Linked DNA regions of Sus scrofa. The protein of the gene in region 2 binds, or shares a complex with, the protein of the main gene of each other region. Links are inferred from orthologs where the notes say so. Each region holds a gene or a part of one and is shown on either strand. Other genes may lie near its edges. The genes, in order: ROPN1L, LRRC23, DYDC1, DNAJB13 and NME5.

What was found.
Region 1: LRRC23 (region 2) and ROPN1L share a complex: the UniProt entries of both Homo sapiens proteins name them as parts of the axonemal radial spoke complex. The link is inferred for Sus scrofa from reciprocal best matches to the Homo sapiens genes LRRC23 and ROPN1L.
Region 3: LRRC23 (region 2) and DYDC1 share a complex: the UniProt entries of both Homo sapiens proteins name them as parts of the axonemal radial spoke complex. The link is inferred for Sus scrofa from reciprocal best matches to the Homo sapiens genes LRRC23 and DYDC1.
Region 4: LRRC23 (region 2) and DNAJB13 share a complex: the UniProt entries of both Homo sapiens proteins name them as parts of the axonemal radial spoke complex. The link is inferred for Sus scrofa from reciprocal best matches to the Homo sapiens genes LRRC23 and DNAJB13.
Region 5: LRRC23 (region 2) and NME5 share a complex: the UniProt entries of both Homo sapiens proteins name them as parts of the axonemal radial spoke complex. The link is inferred for Sus scrofa from reciprocal best matches to the Homo sapiens genes LRRC23 and NME5.

What each region holds. Positions count from the first base shown.
Region 1 is NC_010458.4:41,904-46,109, reverse strand, and holds the start of ROPN1L (ropporin-1-like protein), read right to left. Parts: upstream 2,812-4,206; 5' UTR 2,674-2,811; intron 2,348-2,673; 5' UTR 2,304-2,347; coding exon 2,173-2,303; intron 555-2,172; coding exon 431-554; intron 1-430. UniProt on the Homo sapiens protein: Functions as part of axonemal radial spoke complexes that play an important part in the motility of sperm and cilia. Important for male fertility.
Region 2 is NC_010447.5:63,808,803-63,812,640, forward strand, and holds the end of LRRC23 (leucine-rich repeat-containing protein 23), read right to left. Parts: intron 3,478-3,838; coding exon 3,341-3,477; intron 1,615-3,340; coding exon 1,342-1,614; intron 773-1,341; coding exon 772-772; 3' UTR 505-771; downstream 1-504. UniProt on the Homo sapiens protein: Essential for sperm motility and male fertility. Plays an important role in the proper assembly of the third radial spoke (RS3) head and the bridge structure between RS2 and RS3 in the sperm flagella.
Region 3 is NC_010456.5:82,176,493-82,180,164, forward strand, and holds the end of DYDC1 (DPY30 domain-containing protein 1), read right to left. Parts: intron 3,257-3,672; coding exon 3,155-3,256; intron 583-3,154; coding exon 553-582; 3' UTR 512-552; downstream 1-511. UniProt on the Homo sapiens protein: Functions as part of axonemal radial spoke complexes that play an important part in the motility of sperm and cilia. Plays a crucial role during acrosome biogenesis.
Region 4 is NC_010451.4:8,348,697-8,352,211, forward strand, and holds part of DNAJB13 (dnaJ homolog subfamily B member 13), read left to right. Parts: intron 1-2,102; coding exon 2,103-2,260; intron 2,261-3,136; coding exon 3,137-3,250; intron 3,251-3,515. UniProt on the Homo sapiens protein: Functions as part of axonemal radial spoke complexes that play an important part in the motility of sperm and cilia.
Region 5 is NC_010444.4:140,155,144-140,158,658, forward strand, and holds part of NME5 (nucleoside diphosphate kinase homolog 5), read right to left. Parts: intron 3,298-3,515; coding exon 3,197-3,297; intron 1-3,196. UniProt on the Homo sapiens protein: Functions as part of axonemal radial spoke complexes that play an important part in the motility of sperm and cilia. Does not seem to have nucleoside diphosphate kinase (NDPK) activity.

The DNA.
Region 1 (4,206 bases), on a different chromosome or scaffold from region 2:
GGCAATGCCAGATCCTTATCCCACTGAGCAAGCTCAAAGATTAAACCAGCATCCTTGGAGTTCCCGTTGTGGCTAAGTGGGTTACAAACCCAACTAATATCCATGAGGATACCGCAGGTTTGGCCCTGAAAAAGCAAAAGAAAGAAAGAAAGAAAGAAAGAAAGAAAGAAAGAAAGAAAGAAAGAAAGAAAGAAAGAAAGAAAGAAACGCATCCTCACGGATGCTAGTCAGGTTCATAACCCACTGAGCCACAATGGGAACTCCTATTTGGGGTTCTTTAAACCAGAGAAAGGCCACTGAATACAAGATTCCTTCTTTGAATAAACTTGGAGGTTTCCCAAAGGGAAGCAGGGCTTGTATGGATGATGGGGAGGTTTCTGCCAAGCTTTATCTCAAGTTCATCTGACTGATGACAAAGACAATCTTATACCTGCTTGTGCAAAACTTTAAGGAGTCCTTGAGTCAGGCCTGTGTCTGTTTTCTGAGTGGCCATGGGCATTTCAATTCTGTCCTTTACAGGAAGTGGATCTCCTCTTGACAAAGCTGAAAAATACCTGACAACGACATGCATTGCTGAAGGCTCATCTGTGCATCCAGCTGACTTCATGCACTTTCATCAGTGACCTCAGAGGGAGACAGTGATGACGGAGGACTGTGCTAGGTCCCTGGCCCAGCCCCTCTACTCAACTGACTTAACATTCTCCACATGCCTCAGTTTCTCTGTCTGCAGAGTGGGGAGAATGGTGGCCCCTGTCTCAAGGCCCCCATCTGCACTCCTGGGGGTCTCACGACACATGCTAATCTCATCAAGTAGATGCCACTAGAGGTCCTGAGATGTTGCTAGAGGAGGTGGAGGTCAGGGCCCCATGTGACCCAAGTGCAAGGGCATGGTCCAGTAGTATCATTTTGACAGCTGGGGACTTGGCCCTGCTTCTCGAGGGGCTTGATTTCAAGCATCTCTGCCTATTCGGGTCTCAGGCACTCAGAACAGGGAAGTCACCTGTTTGGCCAACTCAGGGCCAACCTCCCCTACTCTTCACCTTTCCTGCCTGGTATTTTTTTTTTTTCTTCAGTATTTTCCCACTCAATCATTCCTTTCTGGGACATGGATATTGGTGCTAATACTAGGAAGAAGCTGGGACACAGAGAGAGTCTGGGGCAACAAGACAGGAGGGGGACAGGACCCCGGGGGTCTGGCTGGAGGGTGAGGGGTGCCAGGCAGGGTCTTCTGGAAGCTCACTCTCTGTGGGTGCATGCAGCTGAGAATGGCTGCTGAAGCCACATCATTTGCTGCCCTCACAACCTTACCACTGTCAGAGAAATGCCATATCCAGGAAAATAAGGCACTAAATCATCCAGGGCTACCAGTAATAATTTCAAAGATACAAGTAGTTAGAAAACATCTCTGAACATGTAACAAAATGTAGATCAATAGATATTTGATGGACTAAAAGAAATTTTATATCTCATCCCCTTTTTCTCTCTCCACCCCCTCAAATTCAACTTTCACGCTCTTAGGACAAGTTCAGACATATTTTGTTAACTTAATGTCTGTTCCTAGAAGCAGAATGTTTGTTGCAATAAACTGTGACGCTCATATGCTTGAACTAAGCTGGGCAAAGTTTAACTTTACAGCAGCCTTGGGATGGTTACTTGACATAAACTAGTCTTTCTGGTTCCAATAACCTCAAAAGGTACTCAATCCTGGAGGATTTTCTGAAGACAAAGAATATAACCATAAGATTCTTCCTTGTAAAAATCATTTCACAAATAAAGGGACTGTGATAGTTCGAGTTTATAACACAAGGCAGAAACTTTTTACCCAATGTAACTGTTTTATAAATTTTAGTCTACTTGCATAAATATCACTCTCCAACAATAGAGCTGCCATTGCTTTGTAGATAAATGGGCATTTTGCAGTAATTTCTGGTCTCGTGGTCAATAAACCACGACGCTTCCTAGATAGATACTTAGGTGTAAATACCAAAACCACTGGTACCTACATTAGGTGTATGGTATCTACAATACTATATTAGGTGTAGATACCAATGCTAAAAAAGGTTTTGCCGGTACTCAGGGTACTGAGCATTGTCCAGGAAGGAGGACTCACTAGGCACGACTGGGCAAAGGGGACCAGGGGGCTCTCCAAGGTCCCAGTCCGGTGGAACTTACCCCGCGGACCACTGCAGCACGTCGGCGGGTTGGGTGCGGATCGCAGCCTTGGTGAACTGCTTCAGGATGTCTGGCAGTTCCGGGGGAATGTGGATCTGCTGTGCGCAGAACATGGTGTCGGGAAGCGGCATCGCTCTCCGCAGACCAGGACCAGGCTGGAAAGAATCAAGGTGTGCTGCGGAGGGAGAAAAGGCTGGTTGGCCAGCCCAGGACACTCGGAGAGACGCGACGGCCAGGGGACCCAGGGGCCGGGCCAGAGCACGGGGTCCAGGGTCCCCAGTTTGAAGCCTAGTGGAGGAAGAGGGTCTGGGGCGGGGCTGGGCGGGGTCCGGGATCTTGAACCAGGCCGGGGGTGGTGCGTTTAAACCAGGCCAGGGCAGGCTGCCCACCTTTCCTCGGGTTTGGAGGGGCCGGGGACCGGGGCTGGGCGGCAGTTTTGGGTTTGAGGGCAGGCCAAGAGGCTGGCTTCCTGAGGCGCCGGCAGCCGGCGAAGGCTCTTACCCGCTCCTCCGGTTCCTCGGAAAATGAGGGCCAACCGCTGGTTCTAGCGCAGACCCAGCAACTGGGCAGCAAGCCACCGCTATTGTTTCGCAGCGGTATCCAAGCAACCAAAACATGTGCGGGCTCCACCCCCTGGAGCCGCGCACGCGCACAAATGGTGGAGCAATGCGCTTGCGCAGTCTGGTTTCGCAGTCCTTTCCTTTACCTCGCTGTAGGAGCAGAACGTTTCACTTGAAAAGGACTTTTTTTTTTTTTTTCTTTTGATTAATTTAATTTTATTGGAGTAAAGTTGACTTACAATGGTGTATTAGTTTTAGGTGTATGGTAAAATGATACAGTCATGCATATAAATATATCCATTCTTTTTTCCCATATAGGTTCTTACAAACTACTGAGTAGATTTTCTTCTGCTACACAGCACGTTCTCGTTGCATCTCTTGTTTTTCTTAATTTTTTTTATTACTCAAATGAATTTATCACATCTGTAGTTGTATAATGATCATAAAAATCTGATTTCACAGGATTTCCATCCCACAGCCCAAGCACATCCCCCCACCCCCCAAACTGTCTCCTCCGGATACCATAAGTTTTTCAATGTCTGTGAGTCAGCATCTGTTGTGCAAAGAAATTCCGTCTGTCCTTTCTTCAGATTCCACATGTCAGTGAAAGCATTTGATGTTGGTGTCTCATTGTATGGCTGACTTCACTTAGCATGATAGTTTCTAGGTCCATCCATGTTGCTAAAAATGCTGATTTCGTTCTTTTTCATGGCTGAGTAATATTCCATTGTGTATATGTACCACATCTTCTGGATCCACTCCTCTGTCGATGGACATTTAGGTTGTTTCCATGTCTTGGCTATTGTAAATAGTGCTGCAGTGAACATCGGAGTACATGTGTCTTTGCGATAGATGTGTTTTGTGTTTTCTCTGGATAGATGCCCAGGAGTGGGATTGCTGGATCCAATGGGAGTTCTATGTTTAGTTTTCTGAGGAATCTCCATACTGCTTTCCACAGTGGTTGCACCAATTTACAATCCCACCAACCGTGTAAGAGGGTTCCTTATTCTCCACCCCCTCTCCAGCACTTCTTGTTTGTAGACTTTTGGATGATGGCCATTCTGGCTGGTGTAAGGTGGTACCTCAGAGTGGTTTTGATTTGCGTGTCTCTAATAATGAGTGATGTTGAACAACTTTTCATGTGTTTCTCAGCCATCCGTATGTCTTCTTTGGAGAACTGTCTGTTTAGATCTTCCGCCCATTTTTTGATGGGGTTATTTGTTTTTTTGGTATTGAGCTGCAGAAGGTGTTTATAAATTTTGGAGAGGAATCTCTGGTCAGTCGATTCATTTGCAAAGATTTTCTTCCATTCTGTGGGATGTCTTTTTGTGTTGTTTAGGGTTTCCATTGCTGTGCAGAAACTTTGAGGTTTTATTAGGTCCCATTTGTTTATTTTTCTTTTTATTGTCAATACTCCAAGAGGTGGATCTGATAATATGTTGCTGTTGTTTATGTGAGAGAGTGTTTGGCCTAT
Region 2 (3,838 bases):
GGCGGGGGCGCGGCGGCGAACGGAGGGGGCCGGAGGGGCTCGGGGCTCGGCGGGCTTCACCTCAGAGTTGCAGACCCAGCCTGTGGTGGTGGCGCTGGCGACGGCGGCGGTGATGGCACAGAGAGAGCGGGAGTGGCGGCGGCGGCTGCGGCTCCCGGGCGGCGGGCGGGGGGCGGACGGGGGGAGGCGCCAATAGGGCCGGGCGGGCGCATGTGACCCGGAGCCCCCGATGAGTCAGGAGCAGCCGGCGGAGGCGCACGTAGGAGCGCGGGTGGGGGACCGATGGGGGTGGGGGACCGATGGGGGTGGGGACCGATGGGGTGGGGTGGGGTGGGGAGGGCTGGAGGAGAGCGATGTTGGAGGGGCGGAGGGCTACCTGAGACCTGACCACCCTCCTACGCACACTCATACCCCCTGAAAAGTAATAGCCTCAGCCTCACGCCAACGCCAGTAATCAGCCAGTCAAGCCCATGACAGACTATCTCGCAAACCTCGTCAAACCCAAGAGTATCAAAACGCTCTTTATTGGAAAACCAAACTGTTCCTAATACCCCAGACTGCCACCTCCGCAGCTCCTCTGTAGCCAATTCTTCCAGCATCCTTTCAGCCCAAACGGGCCTGGCTCCCACCAGACCTGCCTGAGGGCTGCCACTTGCCTAGGCACCCCAGGGCCTAGGCAAAAGAAGCCATCACCTGTCTCATGAGGAGTGTACATGTGGCAGCCCCCCCAGCTGGGAATCTTCTCAGTCCTGGGACCAGCATCTTTAGTCTCCTGGAGGAAGAGGACAGGAGCCAAGCCTCAGGGCCCAACAGCACCCCCACTGCTGTCTTTGCCCCACCTGAAATGCCAGCTGCCACCGTTCCCTGGGCTCATCGTTTAGTCTCTCTGCCTCGCCCTGCCCTCCTTTCTCCCTTCTGCTTGGTATCCTGTTCTTTTTAGCTCCAGATCTTCCTCTCCTGCCTTCTTCCCTGGTCCAGCAGTCATCCTAACATACACTGCCCCCAGCTCTACCCCCACCAGGGCCCAGAGTTGGCATTCCCTGGCAGGCGTGGCTGCTGAGCCCACACCAACATTTCTGCCACCCCAGTTTTTTTCACTTACTCTTCAGGCCTCCTGATGTATCTCCCCAACCTTTCTCAGATTCTCCCAGGCCCTCTGGTTCTTTCTCCTCGCCCCGAGACACCCCTGACTCCTTACCCGGGTCTCCCCAAGACCTCTGCCTTCCTTACCCACCTCCTCCTACAGCAACTCCTCTTCCCCATCTGCTGGGCCCTTGGCCTCCTCCTCTTGCCTCCTTGTCCCCCACCACCCCCAACACCCTTAGAGACAAGAGGAACTACTAGATGGATGACTGGTCCAGTTCCGATTCAGCCTCGGGCTCAGCCTCCTGCTCCTGCTCCTCCTTCATCCTCTGCCGGATCTCATCGGCCTCAGCCCGCTCCTCCTCCTCATAGAAGTCCTTGTCCAGGCGCTCGAGGTGTGCCAACTGCACCAGGGCCTCCTGGCGGTAGTCACTCTCGTCTGCACACGGGTTGTCCAGCAGCACCAGGGCTCGCAGCTTGGGCAGGTCCTGCAGCTTGGCTAGCTCCCCCAGGTCGGTCACCATGTTGCCCCTGCAGGTGCAGTCGGGAGGGGTTCACCAGGGGAGATGGGGCTTTGGAGGCCAGCTGCCTTCCAGGAAAAGGGCCTGGGAGAAATCCCCCACGGGGCTCTGGTCTCTCTAGAAACATGGCCTCTGTGGACTGGCCCTCCAAGCATTGTCAGATTTGCCATGAGATGCTGTCCAGCCCTACTCCTGTCCTGCTTCTGCCCCTCAGGGACTCCCTAGGTGCCACAGTCTATTCTGTAATGTGCTGTGTTTATCCTTTTTGAGCAGTAAAGCTGGGTCTCAAACCTGGTTTTGTTTTGTTTGTTTGTTTTCTTTTTAAGGCTGCAGCATGTGGAAGTTCCCAGGCTAGAGGTGGAATTGGAGCTATAGCTTCTGGCCTACGCCACAGCCATGGCAACACAGGATCCGAACTGTGTCTGTAACTGACACCGCAGCTCACAGCAACGCCGGATCCTTAACCCACTGAGCAGGGCCAGGGATCAAACCTGTACCCTGAATGGAGTTCCCGTTGTGGCGCAGTGGTTAACGAATCCGACTAGAAACCATGAGGTTGCAGGTTCCAACCCTGGCCAACCCAGGTTCCAATCCTGGGTTAGGGATCCAGCGTTGCCGTGAGCTGTGGTGTAGGTCGCAGACTCGACTCGGATCCCACATTGCTGTGGCTCTGGCGTAGGCCAGCAGCTACAGCTACAGCTCCGCTTAGACCCCTAGCCTGGGAACCTCCATATGCCACAGGAAGCAGCCCTAGAAAAGACAAAAAAAAAAAAAAGGAAGAAGAAGAAGAAGCAGTTAGGACCCAAGCCAGTGGAGGAGGAGCTGGGCTCCAGGCTCATGGAGCGGGTACTACCTTGGTGCTCCCACAGGAAGGAGCCTAGAGCTAGGGGTGGGTCAGGGCCTCCCAGCCTGAAGAATAAGCTTCCTCCCCTAGAGTGTCTCCTTGTCCCCATGCTCATGGATGTTTATTTACATACTCTTGCTTTGTACCTTTGAAAATCAGGCTTAAAGACTTCAGCCTCATCTCAAAGGAGGTGCTGAACCTCTCCCAGTGTTTCTAACCAAAGTGCTACTCGCACTTCCCACTGGACTGTCCTACGTGTTGCAGGTCTTTGGCCCCAGAGGCACCTCCAAGTCACGGAGACAACCCCCTCCCCGTACATTTACTTCCAAACATCACCGGTTAATAGCTTCTGAGGAAGGTCCATTATCTCTGTCCAGACCATTAACCAGAAAACAGTACCCCCTCCACCCTCCCAGACCAGGAAGGCAGAGCTAATGAGCAAGAGATCATTCCATGGGTCAGGGCAGGAATTGGGGCTTCAAGATATAACCATGGCTCCCTACTGGAAGATCCTCTATCCATTGCCAGCCTCAAGGATTTGGCCTTGTTGACTAGGGAGGCCATTTCCTTACATCTTTGCTGTGAGAAACACATAACATGCTCCATCACACAAGAGTTGGTTAAAGAAAATCCCCCCTGGGAGTTCCCATTGTGGCTCAGTGGTAACGAACCCAACTAGTATCCATTAGGACCTGAGTTCAACCTCCGGCCTTGCTCAGTGGGTTAAGGATCCCGTGTTGCTCTGGCTCTGGCGTAGGCTGGCAGCTACAGCTCTGATTCGACCCCTAGCCTGGGAACCTCCATGTGCCACGGATGGGGCCCTAAAAAGAAAAAAAAAATGTGGCTCCCAGAAAAGGGTAGGGGTGAGGTGGGGCCTGGAGAGGATGCCTACCTTAGGTTGAGGTACTGCAGTGATTTCATTTCCTTGGAGAAGCCACTCAGAGTGTCAATCTGGTTGTCCCGAAGATGCAAGGTAGTGAGATTGCTTAGGTTCTCCAAACCTTCCACCTTCTTCAACATGTTCTGGGCCTAGACCCCCGTGGATACAGTAGATAGATTGCGAGATGGGAGAAGGGATGAGGAAGGAAGAGAAATCAGAAAGGGATGCAGCAAAAAAGCAAATATAAGAAAAGTAGGAGGGTGCAAGAGAAAGAGAGGTGGGTAGAAATCCATGCAGAATAAAGAATCCAGGGAGCTCCCATTGTGGCACATCAGAAACAAATCCGACTAGTATCCATGAGGATGTGGGTTTGATCCCTGGCCTTGTTCAGTGGGCCAGGGATCTGGCATTGCCATGAGCTGTGGTGTAGGTGGCAGATGTGGCTCAGATCTCACATTGCCGTGGCTGGGTGCAGGCTGGCAGCGTAGCTCCGATTCAACCCCTAGCCTG
Region 3 (3,672 bases), on a different chromosome or scaffold from region 2:
GAGATCTTCCTTTCAACACAGCAACTTTGCCCAATGATTGTTCAAGAAGAAATGCTGCTTCTCTGTACCCAGGTACGTTCCATCCCTCCCCATCACAGTCCCATCAATAAGCATGGATTAAGTGGTACTCTAGAGCATCGCTTCCCAGCAAACTGGGGAAATCTTTGAAGTGTTCTCATAGGAGGAAACACCATATCTAAAGCATGTTGAATATTCCTGAGCACTACATCGTGGCAGCCTCTTTCACTTCTCACAGACCAGTAACTTCCATCTTAGGCAATCTGTTCTCACACAGATACTCACATTCTTTTCAGCTTGTCTCCCACTGCCCCTTTTAGTTGCTCTCTCCCGACCTCTCAATGGAATCATACAGTAACTAGTGACATTGAGAAATCCAAAACAATATTTTAAGACCACCCTTGAAGCCCATTTACAAAGCTGTCTTCAGAGGGGAAAAAAGTAGAATTCAAGTTTGGGGGTGGAATATGTTTGGGGACCTCACACTTTGAAATTTGAAACAAGAAAAATTTATTGTTCTTAGGTTGGTTGATTCTACAAATCTTGATCAATGTTTAATGCAACCTAAAAACAAAATAAAAAGTAAATATGCTTTAATACAATTAGAACTGTGAAAATATACAAGTCACAGAAAATTAGAGCTTAGGTAATTTCTATGTGACTATGTAAATCAAGTTTTTTGATAGTTTCAGATTATTTCAAGTAAAATGCAAATTCAATATAACAATAATGTAATTGTGTTCTCAGTGTATTTATTAACCCATCCTTTCTTCTACTTCTCTTGCTATTTTCTCTTACTGTTATCTATATCCTTCTTATAGGGGTCCCATACCCACCCCTTAAATGTTGAAATTTCTCAGGGTTTCACCCTGAGCCCCCTCCTTCACATCTGCATGCACTCCTAGGTACTTTACTCACACTCCCAGCTGCACTAAGCCTATATGCCAATGACCGCTGAACTCCTATCTCCTGCTGGACCTCCCTCCTGTCCTTCAGATCCACATTGTACTTCAACTGGTCTTTGGCCATTTTTACCTGCATACCTCAGAGTGACCTGAAATTCAACATGTCCACAACTGAAGCCATCATTTTCACAAAACCTACTTTCTCTTCATATGTTCCTCAATTCAACCAATGAGAAAGCTCAAAAAAATGGTGAAGCATCCAGGCTGTCCAAGGGAGAAATCTGGGCTTCATCTTTGATTTCTTTCTCTCCTTTATCCTCTCGACCAATATCAAATCCACTCAGCTGTCCCTATCTCTGCTGTCTGCACCTTGGTCCTAGCCCTGATCACCTTGCATGTGGCTGCCTCTAATAACCTCCTAGGTGGTCTCCTGCTTCCACGCCTACCCATTCAAATCCTCGCTCCACTTTCTAAAAACACATATCTAATCCTCACATACATCTTTCGATGACTCCCACGGCACTCAAGTCCCAAATCCCTAACACGACTCACAGAGCTCAGTGTGATCAGTGTGATCTCCACCCACATCTCCAGCTTCAAATCACACCATTCTACTGGCTCCATGCAACTCAGCCATAATAGACTACTCCAGTTCTTTGAAAGCATCTCGCCCTTTCCATCTGCAGGGCTTATCTCAGGCTAGTTTCTTAAATGACACTTCCTGGAGGAGACTCACGTGGGCTAATTTCCCTGCTCTGTCCCCTGAGAGCACATTTTGGGCTTGCCCATGGACCCCAAAGAGCAGGAACTCAATATGTTTTGTTCACTGGCATTGTCTAGCTCCCTGCACAGTACTGAAACATGGCAGCCATTTAATAAGAATGTAACCACAGACTGATTGGCACCAAATCCTTCCAGCTCTACTTTCTGAACAGCTCTTGAAAACACCCTTTACTACTCCAGGCCATCAATGCCATCTCTCTCCAGATTACAAGAACCTCCTAGTGGGTCTCTGCAAATCTATCATTTCAGTCTTTTCCACATCCTGTGGCCAGATGGCCTTCCTCAAATGCAGCTTTGATCATGTTAGCCTCCATTGTCCCCAGGATAAAATATAAACTTCTGAGCCCACCTTACACATGCTCTCCTGGTCTGGCCCCTGCCTTCCCCACTGCCTCAGCTCCAATCTCTCTCTGCCTCCTACTCTCTCTATTCTCCCTGAGCTGGGTCTTCACACTCTGTGCTTTCAGCCTCCCACCAAGGGACAAGTGGATTTCCTTCAGGAAGCCTTTCCTGACCAAGAGTCTTCAACCGGGCAGTTGTCCCACCTTGTCAGTGCTCACTGACGAAGGTGACTCAATGAATCCCTCTGTCAGGCCAGTCCTGGTTTACATCCAGCTGACTTGGCTCAATTACCAACAGCTCTGCCCTTTGTTCTCAAAGCATACTGGTTTGGGCAATAAATTACCTGGTCACTCTTTTTTTGGGGGGGGGGCTGTGCCACCAGCATGTAGCAGTTCCTGGGTGGAATCAAACATGTGTCACAGCAGCAACCCAAGCGGCTGCAATGACATCACTAAATCCTTAACCCACTGCACCACAAGGAAACTCCTAATAATGACTATTAATTGCTTATCCAATTGTCTCTCCCCTAGACAAGGTCAAAAATGACCTGTTTTACTCATAACAGCATCAAGCACCATGTGTGGCACAATAGCAAACATTACATGTTTATTAAATAGCAGATGTGCTTATATACTATAAAAGCATGCACTCTCATTAAGATATTTATTTGGCTCCATGTTTTGGGTCAGTGTTGGCCCCCAAATTTTAATTTAAAGGTTATGTATTTCACCACATGCTTTTAAATACCTATTCTGAAGAGATTTTGAAATTTTCAAAGCCTCACTCTAAACATACATATCACGCTCTGCATAGGAGGGCACACTGCTACCTTAACACCAACTCCCAGCTGCTTCCCACTCAGGGCCCACACATTTGTGTGGAGCCAGACATGTGCCTGCCTGCACCCTCAGAGCCAGTAACACGCAGCACGAAAGGGCAGAAGGCCAATTAGGGATATGCTGGCATCCAGAAAACTGGTTTTCCTTCTATGAAGCAAAAGGCCCATCTGCCATCCAACCCCAGCCTCATATGCACTAGGCCTTCCTAAAGTTAAAAAAAAAAAAAAAATTCTGCTTTTCACAAAACAATTTCCTAAGGATACTTACATCAGATAGCATTGGTTCATCAAGTTCTTCCACTCTGCTCAAGTTAGGTGCCCCGTAACGATCACTGATTTCAGCCAGTGTTTTGCCTGAGTCGGCTCTGTCCTACAATCAGAGAGTTCATTTTCACTTTCAAATACATTAATACATTAATTTCCTTTCAGTTTTGATGAGACATTTCTGAATTATACCATCAAAATTCAACACTGTCAATTAATAGAATGAACACTAATACCTGTTAATGACGAGAATTCTTAAGAATAAATGCTAGGAGTTCCCGTCGTGGCGCAGTGGTTAACGAATCCGACGAGGAACCATGAGGTTGCGGGTTGGGTCCCTGCCCTTGCTCAGTGGGTAACGATCCGGCGTTGCCGTGAGCTGTGGTGTAGGTTGCAGATGCGGCTCGGATCCAGCGTTGCTGTGGCTCTGGCGTAGGCCGGCGGCTACAGCTCCGATTCGACCCCTAGCCTGAGAACCTCCATATGCCGAGGGAGCAGCCCAAGAAATAGCAAAAAAATAAA
Region 4 (3,515 bases), on a different chromosome or scaffold from region 2:
TTACTAGTTGTGGACTGTGTTTTATTTGACCTCTCTGGGCTGACCAAATAATAGTCCAAAGGGCTAAAAAGGGCACCTGACGCCAGCAAGCTCTCAGCTGTAGTTCCTTATCGTCTTGTTATCTGACCCGAACCTGGAAGGCGGGTCAGGTGTGTTGCTCCTTCCCACAGACGAGAGACTGGAGCCGGGACACCTGCACTGCCGGGGAAGGGCACAGGCTCTCTGTGTGAGGATGGAGGTGGGGCTGCCAAAGGTGTTTTGGCTGTAGGGCTGGGCAGGAGCAGAAGGAATCGAGGCAGGAGTTTGCGGACATGGTGGTGGCCTCGCCACCATCTCAGCCACTGACTTCATAGAAACTCGAGTCTGAGGTCTCTCGTCTTGGGCTGGGCTGGGGCGGAGCCTGGGGAAGGGCTGGGAGGTCTGGCCTTGCTCCAGCCCCCTCCGCGAAAGTAATAGCACCTCCAGGCCCTGCCACCAGAGGGCACTGCTCTCTCTCCTGGGGAGCACTTCCCTGGAGCTGAGGGCGGAGGGAGACTGCGAAGTGAGGATGAAGGGCGGCCAAAGTCGGGCCGAGGCAGGGAGAGCGGCAAGGGGTGGTGACCACCGGGTCTTCAGCTGAGGATGGTACCAAGCCTACCCTCCTGCTGGCAGCACGGCAGGCCAGTAAATCCAGAGACGAGCTGTTGGAGCAAAGGATAGTAACTCTATTCAAGAAGCCAAGAAGACGGTTCCCAAAGGACCGTATATATATATTTTTTGCTTCTCAGGGCCTCACCCGCGGCATATGGAGGTTTCCAGGCTAGGGGTCTAATCGGAGCTACAGCTGCTGGCCTACACCACAGCCACAGGAACTCGGGCTCCAAGCTGTGTCTGCCACCAACACCAGATCCTTGACCCACTGAGCGAGGCCAGGGATCAAACCTTCAGCCTCATGGTTCCTAGTCAGATTTGTTTCCACTGAGCCGCGATGGGAACTCCGCAAAGGACCATCTTATCTGAGAATTCAGACTTCTTTTATACTAAAAGGAGAGGGAGTGGGTGTTCTCCTGGGTCTCAGCAGGTTAAGGATCCGGTGTTGTCACTGCAGCTGCTCAGGTTGCTGCTATGGCAGTGGTGGGTTCTATCCCTGGCCTGGGAACTTCCACATGCTGCGGGCATGGCCAAAAATTAAAATTTTTTTTTTGCTTTTTTTGCTTTTTTAGGGCTGCGCCTGTGGCATATGGAAGTTTCCAGGCTAGGGGTCAAATTGGAGCTGTAACTGCTGGCCTACGCCGCAGCCATAGCAATGCAGAATCCGAGCCAAGTCTGTGACCTATACCACAGCTCATGGCAATGCTGGATCCTTAACCCACTAAGTGAGGCCAGGGATCACACCCACATCTTCATGGATACTAGTCAGATTTGTTTCTGCTGTGCCACAACGGGAACTCCCAATTTTTTTTTTTTTTTTTTTTTTTTTTGTCTTTTCTAGGGCCATACCCATGGCATATTGAGGTTCCCAGGCTAGGGGTCCCATCAGAACTATAGCCGCTGTTCTACACCACAGCCACAGCCATGCCAGATATGAGCTGCTTCTGCGACCACAGCCCACAGCAACGCCGGATCCTTAAGCCACTGAGCAAGGCCAGGGATCAAACCCGCAACCTCATGGTTCCTAGTCAGATTCCTAGTCAGATTCGTTAACAATGGGAACTCGTAAAATTTTTTAAAAATTGAAGGAGAGGGAGTCAAACATTTCCTGGTTCCAGTCTGCCTCCAGAGGGATGTGGTAATTTCTTCTTGCCTGCAACCATTCCCAGGTGGGCCTGGTGGGGATGCTTCCTGTGAGCTAAACCAAGGTATTTTAGCTGATGCAGAATACCTGGGAGGCAGGGTTCCCAGAGATGGGCCATTATGTATAATTTACGCTTATAGGCAACATCCCTTTAGTGCTTAACTTGTAATTATGAGGACAGCTCCTCGGACAAACGGGCTGGAGCCTGTGAGGCGGGAACGGGAGGCTGGGTATTACACTCGGGGACTGAAACGGTGCGGGATTGTCCGTGAACATGAGTTTCTGGACACAGTTTCTCTTACTCCGTGCGTCTCCCCACCTTCTGCAGAGTTTTTTGATGCAGAAGGAAATGAGGTGGATCTTAACTTTGGGGGGCTCCGGGGCCGCGGGGTCAAGAAACAGGACCCCCCCATCGAGCGAGACCTCTACTTGTCTCTGGAGGACTTGTTCTTCGGCTGCACCAAGAAAATTAAGATCTCCCGAAGGGTGAGTACCGCGAGCCTCCTCCTAACCGCTCTGACCCGAACCGGAGACCTCGGGTATGGCCTCTCTCGGGATCATGGCATCTTAGATTTGGGGACCTAGGATGGTGGAATTCTAAAATCTGACCTTTGGAAGGGACAGTCGGGGGTATTAGCTGGGGTTCTTTCTGAGTTCAGGAGTCCCCCTGCATGCCCCCAACTTCTCAGTTCAGCCCCATCCCTGAGGAAACTGGGAGTCTCCTGTGATTTCTGCCTTCTGGGCGTTACCAGCCCATACCCTGTGGGTTCCTGGGTGTGTGCCTCCTGAGTAAGAAGGTGCCCTGTGGGCATGGGAGGGGGAGGCTGGGGGACAGTCCCTAAGGGGACTTGGAGAAGACCCTCAATGCCTCAGGGTCCAGCCCTGTGCTAGCCCCGTGCCATGGTCCACATGAGCACGGCCCCCTCCAACCTTTGCCCGGCAAAGGAGATGCCAGTTGTAGCCATGCCTTGCACAGATGGCCCCCATGTGGGCCTGTGATTGGGGGGTGGGTGACAGGTGACATACAGAGGAGTGCTGTGGGTGAGGCTCTGTGGTCTTTCTCCCTTGGGAATTAAGAGCCCTGCTGGAGGCTCGGGCAGAAGCCGCGGGGGTGGGAGAGGAGGTGGGTGTGTGTTCCCTGTGTATCTGTCAGTGGCCACAGCCGTGAGTTTCTAGGACTGGAGTGGGTCCTTGGTCAACTCACGGTGACACTTGGCACCTCGGACCCGAGCCCCATGTCATGCCCTGGCCCTCCTGGCCTAAGTTCCTGGTTTCAGTGGAACGGGCGTGGGGTGGCTCTGGCAGCTTCTCCCCATTGCTAGAGGCCACCTGGCAAACCTCCGTCCCGTCGTCTCGCCGCAGGTGCTGAACGAGGACGGGTTCTCCTCTACCATCAAGGACAAGATCCTCACCATTGACGTGAAGCCTGGGTGGAGGCAGGGCACCCGAATCACCTTTGAGAAGGAAGGGGACCAGGTGAGGGGAGGGCTGCTCCCTGGGGCCAGTCCCCCGGGTCCGCGTGGTGGGAGGACCGAGGCGGGAGGAGGCAGTGCGTGTTCTTGGTCCGGCAGGGAGGCCGGTCTGCAGAGTGGGCGAGCCGACCCCTCATGTCCCTCCCGAGGGACTGAGCCTCACAGGACATCCCCCAGGACCGAGTGGGCAACCGAGGCCCAGAGAAGGCAGGGACCTGCCCAGGGCACGGGCACCAGAGCAGGAAGGAGAAGCGAGTCCTAACACCAGT
Region 5 (3,515 bases), on a different chromosome or scaffold from region 2:
TGTCAGGCTAGGGATCCAACCTGCGCTGCCGCAGAGACAACACTAGATCCTTAATGGGCTATGCCACAGAGAACTCAACTTAATTTTTGGATTATTTCTATCTTGTCTATTTTTGTCAGCCATTTATTATTTGTTTCTAGCAACTAAGGCTGAATGAATTGAGAACCTAAAGAGTGTTTTCATGTTTCTTATATAAACTTTCACTGCACTTTTTAAAGCTTTTTCATGACATAATTTATACACTGCATTTATATTTATTTTTATACCTTTACAGACTTTTAAAATATGATCATCTTGAGAGAGCATGAATATCTTATTCATTTTTGTATTTCTGGCATGTGGTAGGTAACTCAATACATTTGTTGAATGAATAGAACATAGCAAAGCTTTGAATCAGCCATCCCTATTAAAAGGGAAGGAAAGAACACTAGCTTTTTCAAGGATTATAAGTATGTCTTTGATTATCTTTTTTTTTTTTTTGTCTTTTTTGTCTTTTTGTCTTTTGTTGTTGTTGTTGTTGCTATTTCCTGGGCCGCTCCGGCGGCATATGGAGGTTCCCAGGCTAGGGGTTGAATCGGAGCTGTAGCCACCGGCCTACGCCAGAGCCACTGCAACGCAGGATCCGAGCCGCGTCTGCAACCTACACCACAGCTCACGGCAACGCCGGATCGTTAACCCACTGAGCAAGGGCAGGGACCGAACCCGCAACCTCATGGTTCCTAGTCGGATTCGTTAACCACTGCGCCACGACGGGAACTCCTGTCTTTGATTATCTTAATAACTTGCTTTAGCAAATCATCATATAGGGTTTTGCATGTAGTTCTTGACTGACTGCTAAGCCAGAAAGCTCATATCACAAACTTTGAGAACTTACTTCGAAGTCTATATTCCCACAGCAAAAGATCTGCAATCAGAGTTCCCGTCGTGGCTCAGTGGTTAATGAATCCGACTAGGAACCATGAGGTTTCGGGTTTGATCCCTAGCCTTGCTCAGTGGGTTAAGGATCCAGCATTGCCATGAGCTGTGGTGTAGGTCGCAGAGGCGGCTCGGATCTTGAGTTGCTGTAGCTCTGGCGCAGGTCAGCGGCTATAGCTCCAATTAGACCCCTAGCCTGGGAACCTCCATAGGCCACGGAAGTGGCCATAGAAAAGGCAAAAAGACACAAAGACACACACACACACACACACACACACACACACACACAAGATCTGCAATCATTTTTTATCCTACAACTGCTGCTTCTCAAATAGCTACCTAGAGGATTAATTAATAGGTAAAATCAAAGGCAATCTAAAATAACTGTTTAGGGATATAACCCTATGAGCAAGAAGAGCTTCCAAATGTATCTTCTACTTAAAAGTGAGTTTGAACGTTATTTTAGTTAAAAGCTAAAGAGGAGAAGTCTAAATTCACCAGTAGGACTAAATCTAAAAATCTACCACATTAAAAAGACATCTCAGATTTCCCATCATGGCGCAGCGGAAACAAATCTGGCTAGGAACCATGAGGTGTCGGTTCGATCCCTGGCCTCGCTCAGTGGGTTAAGGATCTGGCATTGCCATGAGCTGTGATGTGGGTTGCAGATGCGGCTTGGATCTAGTGTTGCTGTGGCTGTGCCTGGGGCCAGCAGCAACAGCTCCAATTAGACCCCTAGCCTGGGAACCTCCATATGCTGTGGGTGTGGCCCTAAAAAGACAAAAAAAAGACAAAATAAATTAAATATTATAAAAAAAAAAATCTCAAGTTTAAGATGTGGTTCAATATAAATGGAAACAGGAGAAGTAGAAGCAAGGGTTATAAATGAAGTAAGACTGACCTAAATCAACTATACTTCAATTTTTAAAAAAAGACTGATCAAATATCATTGAAGCTGAGTGATGGGCTCATTAGGGATTTATTATTCTATTCTGTCTACTTTTGTGTAAATATTCCACAATAAACATTTGCAAAGAAAATTATATCTTAGTGGAATGTATAAGACAGAAATTAGATCAATAAGAATAAAGTATATAGTAGGCAAATCCTTTTGCGTACAAATTTTTTTTATGGCTGTGCCTGCGACATGCAGAACTTCCTAGGCCAGGGATCGAACCCACACCACAGCACTGACAATGCAGAATCTTTAACTGTGAGGCCACCAAGGAACATCTACAAAAAAATCTTTAAAAGAGTTTTTGTTTGTTCAAAAATCAGTACTTTTAAATAGCCAAGATAATTTTCAGTTTTTTGTTTTTTTGTTTTTGTTTTTGTTTTTTTTGTCTTTTGTCTTTTTTGTTGTTGTTGTTGCTATTTCTTGGGCCGCTCCCGCGGCATATGGAGGTTCCCAGGCTAGGGGTTGAATCGGAGCTGTAGCCACCGGCCTACGCCAGAGCCACAGCAACGCGGGATCCGAGCCGCGTCTGCGACCTACACCACAGCTCACGGCAACGCCGGATCGTTAACCCACTGAGCAAGGGCAGGGACAGAACCCACAACCTCATGGTTCCTAGTCGGATTCGTTAACCACTGCGCCACGACGGGAACTCCAATTTTCAGTTTTCTTTGAATAAATCTTTACCAGAAAATACTGCGGCAGAGATCTAAATTACTAAGAGGGAAAAAAATGCAAAAAAATTCAAAGTTGCCCAACACTTTGAATTTTTCTCTTTATAATAAAAAAAATCACCAAATTCTTTCTGCTCTAACAATATTATTCAAAACAAACTGAAAACCTCATTACGATACCCACTTCTAAAAGGTTAACAGCTTCCATAACAGGATGGAAACAAAAAAGGGGCCTAAGAACTACTAATTTCATAAATGCATGAGTCTTGTTAAACAGCAAACTGTTAAAGAAAATGGCAAGTCAACCAAAATTTCCAAAGAAGATTCTTTTCATGTGTAAAAAACTTGGCTAATACATTTAGGGATAACTAAAAGGAATTACAATACAGAAGAAAAACCCCAGATATGTTCAGTCCAAGAGAAAAGAAAAGAAAAAAAGTTAACCCTTCTCAAAAGATTCTAGAGGACACAATTTAGTTCTGAGAAAAATGCTGAGTTCTCTATTCTTGGCTTAAGCTGTTAAGTAATTACAACTTGAAAACATGACAATATATTGGAGAAAAATCCTGTTATCTTCCCTCCCAGCTATGTCTCCAAAATAAAAGAAAAAGTAAACCATAGGTAGATGCAATGAACTAATTATGTAACTCACCTGCCGGAAACATAAATCGAATTTCTCTTTCTGCTGCAGCAAAATCATTACTCCCATGAAGTGCATTCCTTAGCTCGTCTGTGCCATAAATTGCCCTTAGACTAAAAGCAAGTTAAGAGATGATGACCATTTAATCTGCTGTTTTTTCCTTACTTGTTATATTAGGAATTTTACAAAAGCATCACCACTTCTCACATAAGGGGTTTTAATCTATTTTGAATTTAAACATAAATCTATCTAGACGAGGGTCAAATATATTTAAATCTACAGGAGAAATATACTTGGAAGAATAGTTCTCTAGGTGAAAAAGAGGTATTGT